2 linked regions of the Astyanax mexicanus genome follow. Each later gene encodes a partner of the first gene's protein in a complex. Links are inferred from orthologs where the notes say so. Each region holds a gene or a part of one and is shown in the gene's direction. Other genes may lie near its edges. The genes, in order: fzd4 and norrin.

The links.
Region 2: the proteins of fzd4 (region 1) and norrin are in contact, whole or in part, in a crystal structure (PDB 5BQE), measured with the Homo sapiens proteins. The link is inferred for Astyanax mexicanus from reciprocal best matches to the Homo sapiens genes FZD4 and NDP. Residues at the interface, in NP_036325.2 of Homo sapiens: Ser51, Met52, Gln54, Asn55, Leu56, Gly57, Gln95, Phe96, Met105, Thr107, Lys109, Ile114, Asn152, His154, Met157, Cys158, Met159, Glu160, Gly161, Pro162; in NP_000257.1 of Homo sapiens: Asp33, Ser34, Pro36, Arg38, Met40, Arg41, His42, His43, Tyr44, Val45, Asp46, Lys58, Met59, Val60, Leu61, Lys102, Lys104, Leu106, Tyr122, Leu124, Ser125.

Annotation. Positions count from the first base shown.
Region 1 is NC_064425.1:12,078,054-12,088,121, reverse strand, and holds the start of fzd4 (frizzled-4), read left to right. Parts: upstream 1-5,688; 5' UTR 5,689-5,880; coding exon 5,881-6,126; intron 6,127-10,068. UniProt on the Homo sapiens protein: Receptor for Wnt proteins.
Region 2 is NC_064418.1:5,507,399-5,517,249, forward strand, and holds the start of norrin, read left to right. Parts: upstream 1-5,574; 5' UTR 5,575-5,820; intron 5,821-9,851. UniProt on the Homo sapiens protein: Activates the canonical Wnt signaling pathway through FZD4 and LRP5 coreceptor.

The DNA of each region.
Region 1 (10,068 bases):
ACACACACAATAATGTATGGCCTCGTAAGACATGGACATCCTGCCGGCACAAATAAATCACGTGTATCCCCCAACACCCCCCAACCAACACACACATACACACACACACACACACACACCCTAAACTAGGGGAAAGTTACAGCCAGTGTGTGTGTATGTGTGTTTGTGAGTGAGTGTGTGTGTGTGTGTGTGTGTTTCAGTTCTGTTTGTTTTACATCACATACTTTTACAGGCTTTTAGGCCACAGTACACTCTATTGCTCTCTTTGTCTCTCTCTCTCTTTCTCTCTCACACACACACACACACACTGAGATCACATCTTACTTAAAGATATATAGATACAACTATAAAAACAACTTCAAATCAGAAATATTTGGAACAGTATGAAAAATCCTTCTCATTAAGTGTGTTTCTTTATTTTTTATTCAATTTGTTGTCTAGATTGTAGATTAATATTAAAGACATAAAAACAAAAACAGCAAGAAGTATTTGTCCTCCAAAATCCCTTGATATAAACTGAGATAGTGATTTGAGATTTGGAATGAGCTACTAAGATACTAAGACAACTATTCCAGGTGACTCTACCTAATGAAGACACTGAGGTTAAAATACCAAGAGTGTTCAGATCTGTCCTCAAAGATAATTGTTCTACTTAGAAGAATCTAAATTATAAAACATATTGTTTAAAACAATATTCTGTTTAACACATTTTGTTTACAGAATAATTCTGCATGAGTTTCTGTATAGATTTAATATAGTCTTCATTATTAAATTTACAATGTTAAAAATATAAAAAGACAGAAAACACATTAAATGAGAAGAGATGTGTCCTTTTAAGCATCTCATACTTGCACTTTAGCCTAAAATGCTTTCGAGGACACTGATGTTTACCCAAACAAATCTGATATGCACAGACAAAAACTTCCTTTAGCCATGCAAAGGCTTCCTGGCTTCATTGTACTCTACAGACTCCACACAAAAACAACACAACCGTGTTTAATTATAGATGGTTACACTGTATCTACAAGTGCTTAATCAAAAGGTCAGTGGATTTGTCTTAGGGAGATTCAGAAGGTTTTAATATCTGTTTGAGAATGCTTTAAAGTCTGTGGATATGTCTCAAAGTATCTCAGAAAATCTTTGGATCTGTGTCAGGAAATCTGTGGATCTGTCACAGGAAGTCTTTGGAACTGTCTTAGGTGTCTCAGAGGTACTGTAAATCTTGAGAATCTCAGTTCTTTAGACCTGTCTCAGAGGATCTCAGAAGGTCTGTGGATCTGTCTGAGGTAAACTTAGAAGCTCCAAGGATCTATCTTGGGTGACAGGGGGGCTGTGAATCTGTCTCAGAGGATCTCAGAAGGGCTTTGGATCTGTCTGAAATAATCTTAGAAACTCTATGGATCTGTCTCGGGTCACAGGGGGTCTGTGAATCTGTCTCAGGGATCTATGGATCTTTTTCAGAAGATCTTACAGAGTGTTTAGGTCTGTCTCAGAAGATCTCAGAAGATCTCAAAAGACTTCAGAAGGTGTTATGAATGACGACCCACTTTGTTTCAGATGTCCACTCCTGGCTTTACTGGGCACAGTTGAGTGGGGCTGAGTGACTCAAAACACGAATGGACAGCCAAGTGTAAACACACACACACTTTTCATGCATGCATGCACTTATACATACACTGTATTAGCTACTTAGTGAGGATTCTGAGTATGTGTGTGTGTGTGTTGAAGGAGGAATTTGCACTCTTAGGCAGTTCAGTCTTGTTCTGAAGCCGTATAAACCCAGGCTTAGTGTGTTAGTCGCATGAATACACACATAAATCCACACACACATTCACACATATAGGTCTGTCACAACTACTGCAATTCACTTGATAAATTATAAAATAATTAGCTTTTCGCAGAGATGAATACCTGTGGTCTGATGCTACCACCACCATGTTTCACAAATGAGAGTGAACAGGATGAATGAATTGGTGAGAGTGAGCCAAAGTGAGTAAATTGTACAGAAAAAGAAAACCAATGTGCATAATCCAAAATAAATTGTCCAGTCTGAATAAACCAGAAGAAACCAAAGGTTGTAGATGCTCAGTGTGAATGCTGTTGAATGGAAAAAACAGAATGAACAGACTAGTGTGTTTTAGTGTAGTGTGCAATAGTTGGAATAAACCAACATTTGAACGAAGAGTGTCTCAGTGTGAATGATTCAGTATGAATGAACCGGAGAAACTGGGAGTAAATGGGAATGATGTGCTGTGTAAGAACCAATGAGAATAAACCCGTGTGAATTATCCAGTGTGCATAAGCAAGTATTTATGAACCAATATTACTAAGTGTAAATGATTAATGGCATAGAGTGCATAAACCCTTAAACCATATACAGCTACAAATAAACCAATATTACTGAATCAGTGTGAATGGTCTTTTGTGCATAAACTGGTATGAATAAAACAATATTATTAAATCAGTGTAAATAACCCATTGTTTGTAAACCATTATGAATTAATTAATGTACCTAAATCAGTATAAATGATCCAGTTTTTATAAACTGATATTAAAAAATCAGTGTGAATGGTCCAGTGTGAATGGTCCAGTGTGCATAAACCGGTATGAATTAAGCAGGATTATTGCATCCATGTAAATTAATTGGTTTGGTCAGACTGAAGACAAACATTTTGTTTTCTTGGAATAACATTAAATAAGACGAAAAACAATAATAAAATGTTTATGTGGAATCAATTTTCTTAATCTGGATCAACTCCAGGATTTCTGGAATCAGAATTAGCTTGTGTCTGACAACCATCTCGAATGTGTGTGTGTGTGTGCATGTGTGTATGTGTGTGTGTGTGTGTGTGTGCGCGCGCGCACTGTACACATGCAGCTGCTGCCCAACACTGTGTTTGATGTAAATAAACTTTGCAGTGTGTCCCCATAGCAACATGAAAGTGCTCGGCGCCGTGGCTCCTGATGAAACAGTGCATATTTACACCCTCATACACACACACTCTTCTTTCATCCTACCCATTCAAATATGCTTCGTTTTCACTTGTATTACACCACCAGCAGCTGTGCATGTTTACCACACACACATTTATATCACGCACACACATAAACACACACACAGTGGTAAGTTTCTAGTTTACGTTCAACAAACTGCATGCTGGTATTTTCTGCGTCTGTAAATCAGTGAATCCTGACTGTTACTGCAGCCAACAGGGCTATTAAATACGCATGAACTGCCTGATAGCATTAGCAACGTAGCAGTTAGCATGGCAGAGTAAAAGAACGGTTGGATCAAACCAATCAAAATAATATGGTCTAAATTAACTAATTTGTATAAATTGTGTAAATTAACTCTAAAACTAGTTTTACAAAGATTCCTAAACTCTCAAACTTTGGTCACAAGATCAAGCCATGTCTCAAGTCTTTGGTCATGAGTCCAAGTCTAGTCCTAAGTCTTTTTGAGGTGAGACTTAGTCAAGTCTCAAGTCTTTGATCACAAGTCCAAGCCAAGTCTCAAACCCATGAGAATTAACTAGTTTAAAGAGGCTAGGGTCAATAAACGGTATTGGTTAACTAGCTTGGATTAACAAGTGTAAATAAACTCGTTTAAATAAATCTGTATGAATAAACAAGTGTGAATAAATGTGTCAACAAAAAAAATATGAATAAGGCAGTATGTACATTGCAAAAAATCAATCATCAAAAGCTAGACAAAATATATGTGAACTGAGACATATATGTTTATATCAAGCAAAACTGCTTGTGGTAGGCAATCTGCCAATGAGGTAGGAAAATATTTCTTAGTAAGATTTCTTAAAATAATCAATTGAAACATCTCAAAATTAGTGTCAAGAGAGTAAAAATATAATTTTTGGGTTCTATCTGAACAAAAGAAACTCTGTGTTTTGTGTTCAAATTACTTAAAATAGGTTCACAATTCTAAATAAGAAAGTATCCATACAATAAGCAAAACTATCTTACATAATGCTTAGTAAGGAAAAAAAATATATCAGAAAAAAACATCAGATTTATTGACTTTGAATTTGATCATTTCAATTAAAATGAGTTTTTTTGCATGTGGTTTAGTTTTAATTTTTTCATAGATAAACTTGGTCTTCTTCAAGAAACTCACTTTGATTTAGATAGGAATTGAAAAAAGCCTATCTCCCAACCACCCTTGCAAACATGAAGGTGGTAGTGCTATTGTATGAGATCTCTTTGTGCAGATTATGGGGAATAGCTGGGACTGACTTTGGGACAGAATGACCTTAAAAAGTGGCACAGTGAGAACTCAAATTATAATTATAATCCATATTTCTTTTTATTCTTAGTTTTTTTTTTAACACGCCTGCTGCAGCACAACTGAGTTTTACCACAGACTAAACCATGGGGACACTAAAAGCCCACTGATGCGGATACTGACCTCCAACCCCACCTCCACACACACACACACACACAAACACAGGGTGGACTGTGTCCCTCCTCTGGCCGGGTTAGAAAGGTCAGAGGTCAGTGTGAGTGTTATCTGTGAGGATCTGACCAGCCCTCAGGCTCCTGACAGAAACAGTAAACAAAAACAAGAGTTTACATTCCAGAACAGGCTCCGCCCCACACACCCCGGATTTCTCTCTGTATATTTAGATCTATCGATTTTTCTCTCAGTTTTTCCATACATCCTCAACATTTCTCTCTCCTTCCCTCATTCACTCTCTCTCCTTTCATTATTCTTACACATCTCTCTTTCTGTCTCTCCTTTTACTCGACTTTAAGGCTCTCTCTCCTTTTAATCCTCTGACACATTTTTTCCTGTTTTCTTTTTATTTCTCTTTTAGTCTTCCCCTTCATCTCCTTATTTCACTCTTCTTTGCTCTCTCTTCCTTTTTCCCTCTTTCAATTTTATTTTGTTCTTTTAGTTTATGTGTCTTTCAGTCACTCTCTCATTTTTACTTATTTTTCGCTTCTCAGTCTTGTAATTCCTCTTTCACCTTTTCTATAATTAATGTCTCTCCTCTTTTATTATCTTTGTCTCTCTTTTGTTCTTGCTTTCTCACTTTTCCTTTTACTCCCTCCCTCCTTTTATCCCTCTCTTTTCCCTATTCTCTCTCCCTTTTTGGTCTCAATCTTTCAGTCCTACTTTATCCCTCTTTATCACTTTCTATCCTCTTTTACTGCTTGTCTCCCTCCTTCAGTCTGTCAGTCTCTCATTTTATACCTCCTTTTTCCACACTCAACACTTTTTTCTTTTTCAGTCTCTCTTCTACTTTGTCAGTCTCTCTTTCCTTCAGTCTTTTTATTCAAATCTCTTTTATTCTGTCTCTGTCATTTTATTCAATTTTTCTCATTCAGTCTCTCTTTCCTTCATTCTTTTTATTTGTGTCTATTTTATTCTCTCTGTTGTTTTAATCTCTATTTTTTCTGTCAGTATTTTTTATTCTGTCTCTGTCGTTTTATTAGTTTTTTTTGTCAGTCTCTTTTAATCTGTCTCTGTCGTTTTTTCCTTTTTTCTCTGCCAGTCTCTCTTTTATTCTGTCTCTGTCGTTTTAGTCGCTTTTTCTCTCTGCCTGTCTCTTTTCTTTCTGGCGCTCGCTCACTCCTTTTATTCGTCTCTCTCTCCCTCTCGCCCCGCCCCTAGCCCCGCCCAGTGCAGTTATTATCACAGTTGCTAACCCCGCCCCTGGTCAATAGCCCCGCCCCTCGCTACCCTCTGTCCAGCTCGAGCGCAGAGAGTGGGGTAGTAGAGTAAGATCAGGAGCGCGCGGGGGAGAGTAGAGCTACAGCGCGCGGGGTGTGAGCTGTGTGTGTGTTTATAGAGTGTTTAGTGTATATATAGTCTGTGTGTTTATCTGTGGATCTGCTTCCTCGTGCTGCCCGGTGATCCTCATGGCTCGCGCTGCCCCCGCGGGTCTCGCGCTGCTGCTGCTCGCGCTGGGGAGCGGGCGCGCGCGCGCCTTCGGTGTGGATGAGGACGCGCGCTGCGAGCCCATTCGCATGGCCATGTGTCTGGACCTGGGATACAATCAGACGCGCATGCCCAACCTGGTGGGGAACGTGCTGCAGGCGGACGCGGAGCTGCAGCTCCAGACCTTCACACCGCTCATACAGTACGGCTGCTCCAGCCAGCTGAAGGTACGATGACTACACACACACACACACTGGACATGGGGTTACACATTGCCCCACAAATATCCAATATTGGATAATAAATCATCTAAAGTAACGTGTTATATATATATATATATATATATATATATATATATATATATATATATATATATATATATATATATATATATATATATACACATGTCAAAGCCTATATGCAATAATATATAGTGTATTATATAGTAAGTTCATTTACCGTTATGTAATCATAACATATTTGTACATATACTAGATAATTCATTCACAAGTTTGGACAGACCTTCTCATTCAAAGTTTTATTTTTCTTATATTGTAATCCAGATTATAAAGGAACACATAAAGAATCATGCAGTAACTTCAAACTGTTAAACAAACCAAAATACTCTGTGAAGCATTCAGGTGCTCTTATCTGGAGTACTGTTAACTTGCGGTTTCTGAGTCTAAAAACTCTGATGGCCTTTTCTTGTGAAGGAGTATTGTGGAGGTCCTGATGAGAGCCAGTTTCATCATAACGTTTTTGATTGTCTTTGCAAATGCACTTTAAGATACTTTCAGAGTTCTTTTTAAGGTGAAATTTAAGGTGACTACCTCATAAAGTTGACTGGTAAAATGCAGAGATGTCCAAAGCTATCATCTTAGCAAGTACTTTGAAGAATGTTAAAATAATACATTTTCTGGTTTATTTAACACTTTTTTGTTTACTAAATAATAACATCTTTCATAGTTTGGATTAATTTAGTATTAATCTACAATACAGAAAAATAATGAACCACTGAATTTAAGGTGGAAAAAAGGTGTGTCCAAACTTTTGTCTTGTACTGTATATAATGTATATATGTAAGTACCTATATGTACTAATAATATACCCATTTATAAAAAAAATAAGTAATTAAGTGTTTACAAAAATATATTATTTTAATAATATGTAAGTCAGAAACAATATTTAACAATAATATTTTCTATATTTATTATATATGTTAATATCTAATTATGTAAGTAAGTAACTATTTCTAGTGTGTGTTTATTAGTGTGTGTGTTTACTTAGGGTGTTTATCTCTGTTTTGACTTCAGTGTGTCTGCAGCTTGCACGAGTTTGGTGTAGGTGTGTGTGTGTATATGTGTCTGTGTGTTTGGATTATAGTTTCCCTCAGCGGTTAGGAATGACCACAGTGAAAATCCGACATTTCCTCTAGTCAGTACACTCCCCTGAACACACACACACTCTGCATTTCACTCGCAAAACTGTTTAATCAAATTTACTGTAGTTTAGAATAACTCTATAAGTGTAGTGTATTTATTGACCATGTTTATTGTTAATACTTTCTGTGGCTGATACTCTTTCAGTTCCTGTTGTTGGAGATTTCTCCAACCTCTAGGCCTCTAGTTCTAGTTTCCGAACACTTCAGCAACTGAATCCCCATTACTTGTGCAATATTGCCAAATCAACAACCAACCACAAAGTATGATACATCCACCCCCATGCTTCACAGTTGGCAAGTTATTAATTTTTTCTTTAAAATGTACCTATGCTGATTGTGGCAAAATAGTTCTGACTTCACCGGTCTACAGCATTTGTTTTACAAAGTGCATCTGGCATTCATTTGCTTATCTTGTTCTAAGACCTTGACAAAAAACAAATCCTAGGTTGCCCAAGCTTTTGTACAGGCCACACTGCTGATTTTTTAAAATAGTTTTGTCTGTGCATTAGAATCTGATATAATTATGCTGTTGATGGTTTAGCTATAGAAGCTTGATTTATTATATTTCAAAGCCATTCATTAATGGCATACAGATATTTGTTTAAGTGAAGTGAAGTCAGTCATATTATTTTATCAAATTAAAATCAAATCATATTTATTAATGATGTTGTACTGTTTGACTGGACACTAATATTAATTTGTGTAAGGTGTGTATATCAATTAAAAGTATATACAGTTGGTGTATACAGTGTTTACATTGCTGTTGTATACAGAGTGTGTGATGTGTGTATAGAGTGTACAGAGTATATACAGTCTCACAAAAGTGAGTACACCTCTCATGTAAATGTACTGTCCCCTTTAAAATAACTCAACACACAGCCATTTATGTGAAAATAAAAGTGAAAATGGCAGAAATGGCGCCCAAAGCCTTTTTGGGCATGGATTCCATCAGAGCTTCACGGGTTTCCTCTGGAATCTTTTCCTCACCTCCTTGATGACATCAAGGATCTGGTGGATGTTAGAGACCTTGCACTTCTACAGCCTTTTGCTTGAGGTTGCCCCACAGGTGCTCAGTTGGGTTTATGTCTGGAGACATACATACATACTAGTCCATCACCTTTACTTTTAGCTTCCTGTGCAAGGCAGTTGTCATCTTGGAGGTATGTTTGGAGTCATTATCACGTTACCAGTTACTGAAGGTAGGAACAGTATATGTTGGAATTTAGATCCCCAGCACTGGAAGTACTCAAGCTGCCCCAGACCATGATGCTACCACCACCATGCTTGACTGTGAGCAAGGCACAGTGCTTGGTACTCCTCTCCAGGATACTGCCACATATGCTGGACACTATCTGAGCCAAACAAATTAATATTGATCTCATTAGATCACAAGACACATTCCAGTATCCATGCTCTTGAACTACTTGTCTTCAGCAAACTGTTTCAGGCTTTTTTGTGCATCAGCTTTAGAAGAGGCTACCTTCTAGGACATTGCCATGTAAACAGAGTTGATGCAGTTTGTGGTGTATGGTCTGCGGGCTGACCTCCCACTTCTTCAAGCTCTGCAGCAATACTGGCAGCACTTATACATCAATTTTCAAACAGCCAATGGATATTATTATTAACACGTGAAAACAGCTTATTTGGTTGAACTTGGGGAGGCCTGTTCTGAGTGGAAAACTGCTGTATAACCCTGGCCATTGTGCTGTATCTCAGAAAGTGCCATGTTAAATATCCAGTGGCCAGTGTGAGATAATTGAACCCAAAAAAATAACCTTGTAAACTAATGAGTCACATGACACTGGGGAAGGAAAATAGCTCATTTGGCACAATTTGAACATGTTTACTTAGGGGTGTGCTCACTTGTGTTGCCAGCAGTTTATACATTAATGGCTGTGTGTTGAATTATTTTGAGGGCACAGTAAATTTACACTGTTATCCTGTAGCTGTACACAGACTACTTTACATCAAAGAGTTAGCAAACATCTAAAGATCTATAGTGTTGCCCACTAAATATTTACAAATATGGGGTGTACAGATTTTTTTTGAGATGCTGTACCGATACTTTGTGTATACAAAGTGTGCAATATCTGTAAACTGTGTGTATACAGTGGCTGCATAAAGTAAATGCATATTTGTGTGTTTACAGTGTGTGTATACAGTAAGTGTATTCACGATGAATGCATACAGTATGCGTATAACTTGAGAATATACAGTAATCACACAGATTTTAGATATGACTATATATCAGGAAATAAAGGCTTTAGTGTTAAAAACAGTCAAAAACGTTTTGAATCTCGCTGATGTAACACAGAGCAGCAGGGAGGGTCTACTGTGCAGAATGCTGTATTTTTATCTCTTTATTAAATTATATAATAACACAGAAATTTACAGAACAATGCTGTGATTTACTTGTGTTCACTGTTACTCAAGCAAACATGGAGTCAACTGTTACTAATAAACTCTCTGCTTTTTACTTTATATACTGTCTGTTTATATACACCGCACATATACACCCCTTCTAATTAATGTATTCAGTTACTTTAGGATGATAAGCCTTGCCAATACCATAGGAGCAGATAAACGTGAACATGTTGGCATCACACAAACACTGGAGAGGTATAAAGCCCCCCTAGTATTGAGCTGTGGAACAGTGGAACTGTGTTCTCTGGAATGATGGTGTCTCATTCAGTACTTTTGGGATGAGTAGGGGATAAGGTGGTAATCA
Region 2 (9,851 bases), on another chromosome or scaffold:
GGTCTTCCACCTGCTTTAACCTGAGGCAGACTCTCCAGCTCATGTGATTGCAGTTCACTAAAAAATGTGGAGTAGGATTTACTTAAAAAAACAGCAACTTTAACAAGCATACATTCAAGTAATATTTACTAATAATTCGGTAACACTTTAAAATAAGACTATCTTTATAAAGGGTTTATAAATGGTTTACAATGAGTTCATTAATGCTTACTAATTAGGTTGTAAATGCCTTAAAAAGCATTGATAATCAGTTATAACACATACGCAAGAAGGGCAACAATATAGATGGCTGTGGGTTTACTATTTGGCAAACAACAGGTCATTGTTGCCCTTTCTATGTATTTGTATGATTATTAATGATTTTTAAGGCGTTGGCAACCTAATCAATTATATTTAATAAACTTATGTATAAACCATTTATAAACCCTTTATAAGGGTAGTCTTATTTTAAAGTAGTACCAATAATTCTCAGTGTACTTAACTACAATAAATTTTCAGTAAATTGTTACTTTCATGCATTATTCAATTATATTTTACCCAGTGTATCTTGTAGATTTTACTACATGTAAAATGTAGCGCCACATTCTCCCATGGCTTTTATTATTTACTTAATAGTAGTAGTAGTCATTTTGAAATTCTTTAGTAATGCTTACCTGTCAAATATTTTATTTATTGTAGTATTAATTTCTGTAAGTGCTAATACATGGCATATAATAAAAAAAACAACAAACTCTTACAATAAAGTTTTTATAACAACTTGAAAATGTTTTGTTGTTTTGCCTCAAAAAAGATCTATCTTTTAACCAAATATTCAAGCTTGTTACTAAATATTACTTGCTGCAACCAAAAAAAAGATGCAACTTCCTGTCTTTAAATTGGTTTCAAGATAAATGTCCCAAAGTAGTAGTTTCTTGATGGTCGCACCACATGATATTCTATAAACTTGAGATCGTCGGACAAAGTTTGCTTGTATATTTCAATGGAAATACAATTACAAATGCTTTGCAATTTTATACAGGACTAAAAAACACTTAGAAGATCAATGCTGATTGGAAATCAGTGTTCTTGTATACAGCTTTCAGATAAAATTAATAATATTTAAACATTAAGCATCCAAACTAACCTATTGTGGTTACTTACTTTTAAGAAAATATTTTAACTCCTCTAGGGGTCATAATTTTTAAAGAAATTTGGTGCATTTATAGACCTAAGAGCATAGTTATATGATTTATGCTTTATAAATCCATGTGATTTACAGTGGGGGGAGAAAGGTTTTGATTTTCCACACAGCGGTTTTCTCTCCATCTTTTAGGCAAAAGTTTGCGGACAGAGCTCTGTTAGCTAAATACATTTTGCATTCTACCATTTAGCCAAATGTTTTTCACCAAAGGCTTGTAGGCACAGCTCTATTAGACTGATGTACTTGCATTTTACCAATTAAACAAATGTTTGTGCCTCAAACATTTGGCCAAAAGTATTTGGACGCAGTTCTAGCACAGTTCTATTAGCCATTTAAGCATATTTGCATTCCAGCATTTTAGCAAGAACTACACTCTCTAGATTTTTCTTCTTTTAGTATATTCTTTCTTACTCCCTTTCACTTTATTAAATTGTTATATTAATATCCTCTTAGCATTTGTAATAAGGTTCTGGATGCAGTGCAATGTTCTGTATATTCTGGAGTCTCTAAATTCACCTGAAACCACAGATTGGACAACCTGCTGAAATCAATATGGACTTCTACAGCTCCAGATCGTGGTGAGTTGGATGTAAAAAGGTGAGATTTTAATATTTATGTTCATGAGAAAGTTGTGGTATACGGTGCAGCTCAGCCCAAAATCTCCAGACGCTCACACCTACATGTTTCTACAGGATAAAAAAGAGGCGAACCTGAGAGGACTCCACTTGAGAAAGACAACTTTGTGAGGAAACCTCTGCAAAAACCATTTTACAGTTCTGCTGAGTGACTGAGTGAGTAGCTGCTGAAATATTATTTCAGCCCCTCTCTCCATGAAAGTAGACGGTGTCATAGGTTTTGTGAATATATTACCCATTTAATGACTCAATCTCATGAAATACTAAAGAGACACAGGGGGCCAGGTTTATAAAACGCTTTGGTGCTACAGTGTGTGAAATGTGGTATTTGGTATATGGTATTTGAATTATTGTTGGCCATTGACTTTTTACCATGGCTCAGTAAACTGTTAGTCAAAATCATTGTATGAAAAAGCCCAAGCATAAGTTGGTCAAAACTAAGGTTTTATTCTTTGTCTTTCTATGAATATTCAATTTAAGCAAAAAAAGTATCTATATTTGTCTTTAATTTTACTTTTCATTATTTTTTTAATGAAATTAAAAGGTAGACTAAATGCAAATAGATTTTATTACCTGACAATAAACTTAACAAAGTAGAGTTATTGTGCAAAAAAACATAAATTTAGGCAAAATAAATAGTCACATTAACATTGATTATGAATGTGAAATCCTGTCTCTGTGATGTAACAGTACTGTGAATCTAGCAGAGTTCTTTATAAATCAGCCTCAGTGGATAGAAAAGCATCAATCATGTAATCGTATACTCTGAATGAAGAGTGCTGCTAGTGGATCTTTAAAAAGCGAGAGTGAGTTTTCAGTGTGAGGTCCAAAGAAGCCCTTGCAGGTAATTGTGTTTCATATACTTTTGACCCTTTAAGCCCTACTTACCCAGAGCAGCTCGCCTGTAATTTCCCCTGAGGTTTCAAATTTTTCTGAACCAGTTTTTGAACAATCATTGATTGATTTAAGCCCGGACTACACAGCATTTTTGCCTTGCAGAACATTATCCTCACATATCCTTAACAAGTCTATATTTAAACCTTTTTTTTGGGGGGCTCCAGCGTGGAATAGTCAGCCTTTCATAGTCTAGTTTTTTCCCTTTACAAAGCTGAATGAAAACTGCTGAAAGAATGTCTGAAAAAGCAGACCTCTGAAGTGGGAAGAATCTGATTATCAGATATTTCTGTCTTACAGGGTTTCAGTTCACTCTTGGATTGAGTCCACACCTCAATCTGAAGATTACACACTCCCCCCGTGCCAATATTTGCGGTAATTTAATATGCCCCCCCCCCCTTTCCCCACCACGACTGACATTTTGAATTGTTGGAGGTATTTGCCTGAAAAACATGGAAAACAAAAATCCCACCAAAAATTCTCTGTCTCTGTCTGAGATGTAAAACAGCAATTATGTCTTCTTTGTGAAATCTTAATTATACAGTAAGGTTGTCTTTTTTGTCATTCAAGTGAACACATTCCACAAATAATTACTGGTTATACAAAAATCTAATTTTTTTTTATAATACTTAGTGGGTGGTGTTAATGTCTTCTGTGGTTATAGACATTATGTTGCAATTTTAACAAAAGGGATTCAGGTTGTTTCAACAAAAGGTACAATTAAGGTGCCAACAAGTTCTTTGGATGATATTTTCTTCAATGTAAAGAACCCCCACAGTTTTAGGGTTCTTTAAGACCCTCAGCGATGTGTAGTCCTTATACGTTCATACTTTTGAGTTTATATGCTGTAATCTGTATGTGCTCTATAGAACTGCACTATGAGATGCCAAATGTAATTTAACATGAGACTAGTATCATGTCCAACATCTCATTTAAGCTAAACATAAACATAACGCAATGATCTGTGTCACTTGTCCTATGTTGTACACATGGACAGTTCTATCCAGATGCCACCAGTCACCATCATTGCCTTCTTTAACACTGTGGATCAAGGACAACTTTGAAAAGGAAAGGCCTATTACACTCTAAACCCAATTAAGTCTGTTTTATATAAATTGAATATTGTCAACAACATTTGTGGCCACATATACTGTACATTCAAACATAGATCTTTGAGTTGAATCAATTTATAATAACTTATTAGATTATTATTTTCCATTGGCCACTTTTGTTTTTGTATAGGCTTTTGGCACAAAAAAGTCCCCCAGTTTCTTACCCTAATGATCAGGGTGTAGATTAAATTGTAGATCACATATTGTGAATAAGTGCCTGGCCTTTATGTTGTAGGCTGTAAGAGCAAGCATCATTTTATAAGCTGCTGTACTAACTCTACTGTTCACTCTAAAGAATGTTCTTTCTCTTTCTTTCTTTCTTTCTTTCTTTCTTTCTTTCTTTCTTAATCTAAGTAAATACAGCATCTATATTTTACTTAAAGCCCCACTAGGTAGAACTTCCTTGATTTTTAATTTTTTTAAAGAAATAAAATTACAGCTTGAAACTCACTGCAGCGCTGCATTGAGGTGTAATAGGACGAATAGCAGTACTCCTCTGAGCTCAAACCAGACTCTGTAAGTCTTCCAAGGCGGCAGCCACCAACGCTAATGAGAACTGCGACCTGCTTTCCGACCTTTAGTTCTAACAGTTCTACAAAGACTACTGGTTCATTCTTTACAAACTAACATACAGAAACTCTGGCAGAAGGTGAAAAGGGACCGAATATGTCTGTGTAATCCGCCTGAAACATTTATTACACTCTGCAACTGTAAGGGGAGCCCACGAGCACAAAATCTCAATCCTACCTGGTGGAGCTTTAAATAAATGTGAGAAGTAGACACATATAAATCTATTTTGTTACCTGATAATGAACTTCAAGTTGCAAAGCAATTGAAATTACAATTTACAATTTAATTACCTTACAGTTTAGACATTATAACTAAAAGTGAAGTTTAATTCTCAGTCCAACTCAGTGTTGGACTGCCAGTGTTCAACCTCACTCACAAGATATCACCTGACAACTTATACTTTTAGTTACTTAGTGTGGCTGGTTTAATTTTTTTCTCTCCCTGATATAAAACACTTGGTCATGATCAATTGACTCATTCACTTTTGGCCTTACTTTAAAAAAGGGTTTGTTACGCTATTAAAAAGCGAGCCAACACAGCAATTTGTTGTTATGCCCGAGGCAGTAGACCTTCAGTGTACTTTAAATCCTGCTGCTAATTAAATACACTCGATGCCCCACTTGTTGTTTTTTTTCTGTTACGCTGAGAAGCTGAAGTTTTCCCTCTCCTCTGACGTGGGCTGTGTTAAATTGACACGCACCTCCTAAAACCCCTCGGTGACCCTACTGTAAGCTGGGGGACCGCAGGTGCTGCAGTTATAAAGCTGGGGGACCAGTTGTTTTTAAATAAACTAATTCTGCTAACAGTTTTATAACCCATAGCTCGTAAAAGAGGGCCGGGCTTTTGCTGTGCTCTCTGATTCTACAACCATTCCGAAGCTGGAATCCCCATTTGCTTTGCGAGAGCGTGTTGGTGTGTCAGCTGGAGGGTGTGTGTGTGTGTGTGTGTGTGAGAGAGAGAGAGAGAGTAAGATAGAGTGTGTGTGTTGTGTGTGGGTTCTTGAGGTGATATATGACTGCTGTGTCACGTTCCACATCTGACAACCATCCTGAGACGTGCATCATCTGTCCTTTCCCTTTTCCCTCTGATTCCTCTATACAGAAAAGAAAAAAAAAAACGAGGGGTGTGAATGTCAGCACAGCAGAGGAGGAGGGGAGGGGGAGCAGGGAAAGAAAGAGACAGAGAGAGAGGGAGAAAGAGAGAGAGGGAGAAAGGGAGTCAGAGCTCACACAATCAGTGTGCGTGAGAGGGAGAGTGAAATAGAGAGAGTGAAGAGGGAACGAGGGAGGAAAGGAGAGGGAGAGAAAGGAGAGGGAGAGAGTGAGGGATAGAAAAGGGGGTTTAAAAGCAATTTCAGTGCTGCTTCAGTCCAGTGAGGTGCAGCCGGGGCTGGATATTATATTGAGAGCTGGAAGGAGCTGGAGAAAAGGTAGGTGAGCTTACTGTGTGGATCTAAAGGTGACACAGGGTGTCAAATGAGCTACCAGGTTGTTTCACTGTGATGTTTAAACTGTCGTTCTTTAGGTTTTGTAACATAGTCTAGATCCTAGGAATGGACTGGTGTGATGGGACAGCAAATAGCAGACGGATGTGTTGCGTAACATGTTGTTCTAATTACCTGAAAAGTTGTACGTTGTGCATTGTTATTGCAGTCCTGCCTCAGAAGGTCTATGCTTGTTCTGTGTAAAAAGCAGGGACACAATGAATGTTCTTGATTCCAGGTAAATGATGAATGAAACATATCATATATTTGGTTTTGGCTGTAACATTTGGCTGTAAAACTGTGGTTGATGTATTATAATTTATTACTTTTATATTAAATCAGGTAATCCACTCACATTATCCGTTCTGTATTCTGTCAACAGAGGAAAAGAAACGCTCTGTTATTCTTGGTATTCTTGGTGGTTTTGATAACGCACCATTGCTCAACACCTATCAGCACCTTGGTCAGGCTTTGACTTGACAATTTTACGCACTGCAAGTCATTAGAATCTGGTTAAAGGCACTGAGCCTAGGGCAGGTTCATGGTATGCGCGCCTGATGAGAGGCGCAGTGTCTTCTGTGGTGGGTCGCCTGCCGAGACGAGCCGCCGTAGACAGTGCATTCACTGACTGAGCATTCATGGCTTAATTCCATACTGAACCCGCTGCTGCAGTCATTGGATCACACCACAGCATCAAATCCCGAGTCCTGGGATTGTTTATTTATTATGGACTTGTTGGAGAATGAGGTGGAGGTGCATGTGGGGAGCTTCCCCTCGTACATTTGAACACTTTAAGACAATACCTTCCGCCTGGTGCTTTCTGGTGGGGTTAGGTTTCACATAATCGCTTTCTTGTGAATGTATCTTAAAAAAAACACGTAAATTAACCTTCTAAAAAACGCAGAAAAGTATCCAGATATAAAGGGAATACTCAGAGAGTGAGTCAGCTCAGCTCAGAACAAAACACAGCATGGGGAGGAGGTTTAAGAGGACATCCTAATAAGTTCCCCTAATTGCCGAACACGTGTTTTGGGACTCAACTGCTGCAGCATTCCCAGGCCCCTTTATACTTTTATTGTCTTCTTAGAATGTGATCTGTTCTAAGAAGCCTAAATTGTAACGCTAACATTAGCTTAGCATGGGCTCTCAGGGTCCGCTGCCATTGGTCGTGGGCCACGCTCAAATCCACACTGTTTGTCTTATCTTTATCACGCGGGATATATTTAGTGCATGGCTTAGCCATTGGAGTAAGGGAGGCGCGGGCTGGTGGCATCAAAGCGTGGTGGCAATGCCCCTGCTCAGGGCTGGCATGCTGCTTGGGTGCAGACGGGGTCCAGGAGGAGAGCGTGGAGGGGGGCTATTTGGCCCCTGTAGGAATCTGCCCTTTGGTTTATTAAAAGCTGGTGAAACAATGGGGCACTAAGTGAGCACCAAACATTGACGTAAGGCGCGAACATAAGAGGAGGCATGACAGGCTGACGGACAGGAGACACACTGGACACAAGACAGGACCAACCCGCACAGCAACTGAAGGGCTGCTTCATTTACGTTCAAAAGAATTGACAGAATTACAGCCAGAGTAATCAAACAAAAGTGTAACATTAGCACTGGAGAGCATCAAAAGCATTCCTGAACAGTGCTGAACAGAGTCGGCAGCTTCATCCAACGCTATTCCAGTCTGTAATCAGCATTCACCAGAACAGTTACCGGCCTGAAGAAAAGAAGAATGAAGAGTTCTCTAGAATTTCTAGAATGATTAAACCCACCAAGGTACATCTGGAGGCAACTCTGAGACTTTGTCCTGGATTACCTGGAAAATCTGCTCCCAACCGAAATAAATTACTTGAAAACGGCAATGCTGAGGCAACCATAGCTAATAACTTGGATTCCACGGTCTCCCTCTTCTTCTTTCTACCTTATCCGACCTCTCTCTCTTATAGCTCGAGGCACATTTCAGTCTGAAAATCCTTCTCAAAATGACAGTCTGTGCTTTAGCTTATGCAAGGAGGAGAGCAGCGATGAGAGCCAGAGACAGGATGACATGCTCCAATATCAAGAGACTACCTGAGGTCCCTTGAGTTCCTCAGAAGCATGTGTGTGTGAGCTCGGGTGGAGGAAAAACCACCGTATCACACGTGATGATGTCCAGACTTGGCTATGGTCAGAAAGCCCTTTTTTTTGTTCCCAGAATGAAATAGGCTCTGCGGTTTTTAATGGTCAGATTGAGGCCGAAAAGTTACACTGAATTGCTCCCAACCTGTGGCTGTGATTGAATGTCAGGAATTTCGCAGTTCCAATGCTGCAGACGTCCAGGCCCCTTTACCAGACCTGAACCAGATTAATCAAAAAGAGCTATGCCATGTTTTCACAGGGCCATGCCTGGTGACAGTCCAGTCTGGGGGTCCACACACTGGCATCATGCCTGGTCTGGATCCTCTGGGATCACGGCAGGACTCTGGGTGACTGGGCTTTGCCTGGAAGCACCACGCACACCAACACTTCTGGAGTGTCTCACTCACCCTTGGCTCCTGCCCTTAGTTTTAAATGTTTATTGCTTTTTCGTCCCTTGGAACGGTTAGCTTAGCACATGTTTCATAATGAGACTCTTGACTAGGTACTTGTTTAAAAAAAGGAGCAATGAAAATATAAAGGATCCTATTGTATTATTTAAATTGAAGATTAATTTAAAAATGTATGTCTAATTAATCAGTTTTTACAGCCAAATGTACTGCCAGCAAAGCCATTACCGTGATCAAATGTGAAAAAAAGGATTTGAATTGTTTGTTCATTGATTGAGATAAAGAAGCATTTTTTAAATCCAGAAGGCTCTGGCTGTAGTTCTAATGAGACGTCTAATTAAAGGAAACATTTGAGTACATTATTATGAACGAAGCGGCCATGTTTGCCAAAGTGAAACCGGACAACAAGTTCAGCAACCGTTACGGCTCAAACCCTTCAAGGGTAATTTAGGAGCTCGTAAAACAAAACAAAGCAAAACAAAAATATGAGTTTGCAAGTCCAGAGTGGGATATGTGTAGCTGTATTGGAGAGAGAAAGGGTGGAGGTGGACAGGGTGGAGGCATGCTGCTGTGCTGCTGTGCTGCTGTTGTTGTGTCAGATGGGGGGGATCGGAAGTTCCAGCTGCTGTTTGTGGACACACTGGGCTCTATAAATCTGTGAATCTCAGCAGGTGTTGAGGCTGCAGCGGTGCCCTACCTAACCTAACTGCCTCCCTGCCCCAGGGCAGTTCCCTGCAGGGGTGAGTGAGGGGTTGGGGTGGAGCATCCACAATTGCACATCATAACCCCCCACCCCAACTCCAACTCAACTCCCCAACGCTGGAAGCCCCCAGACTTAGCTGATCAGGCGGCTGTGCATGACTGTACCATGAGGTCATTCTCTTGTTTTTACGAACTCTATTGGAATCTGTAGTCACCTTGTAAACAGGGATGTCTCTCGCTACATTGTTCAGCCTGGTTATTATGACCGTGAATCAGGCCTTGAACAAAGCAGCCCTTTTCTCGCACTTCTGAATGTCAACAGTCATGTCTGGGCGTGATGATGATGGTGATGATAACCGTTATCATGCCCGGTATGCCTGATATGTTGATATTAAACAAATGATGGAGCAGAGAGCATGATGCATCTGGAGCATCCAGGTTAGGAGCAGACCCGGCGATGTCTGGCTGTGTAAACCCTGCAAACACAAGCCCTCTGGAGCCGTTAAACATTTCAGAGAGTATTTATTTTAACAGGCAAATTGATACTTCAATTTCTTGCACAAAGGAATGCTGAAGTTAAATGATTCCCTCCAGAAAGAAAAACATCAGGGGTACGCTGTTAAATGAACTTGATGTGTTTGCGATTTCAGGACAAATTAGGGGTCTCTGAGAAACATTCTGGGACGAAAATGAAGGGAGGGAAAAAGTGCAGTAGAAAGGTTTTTGACATAATGCAGCGTATTGGATTTTTTATGA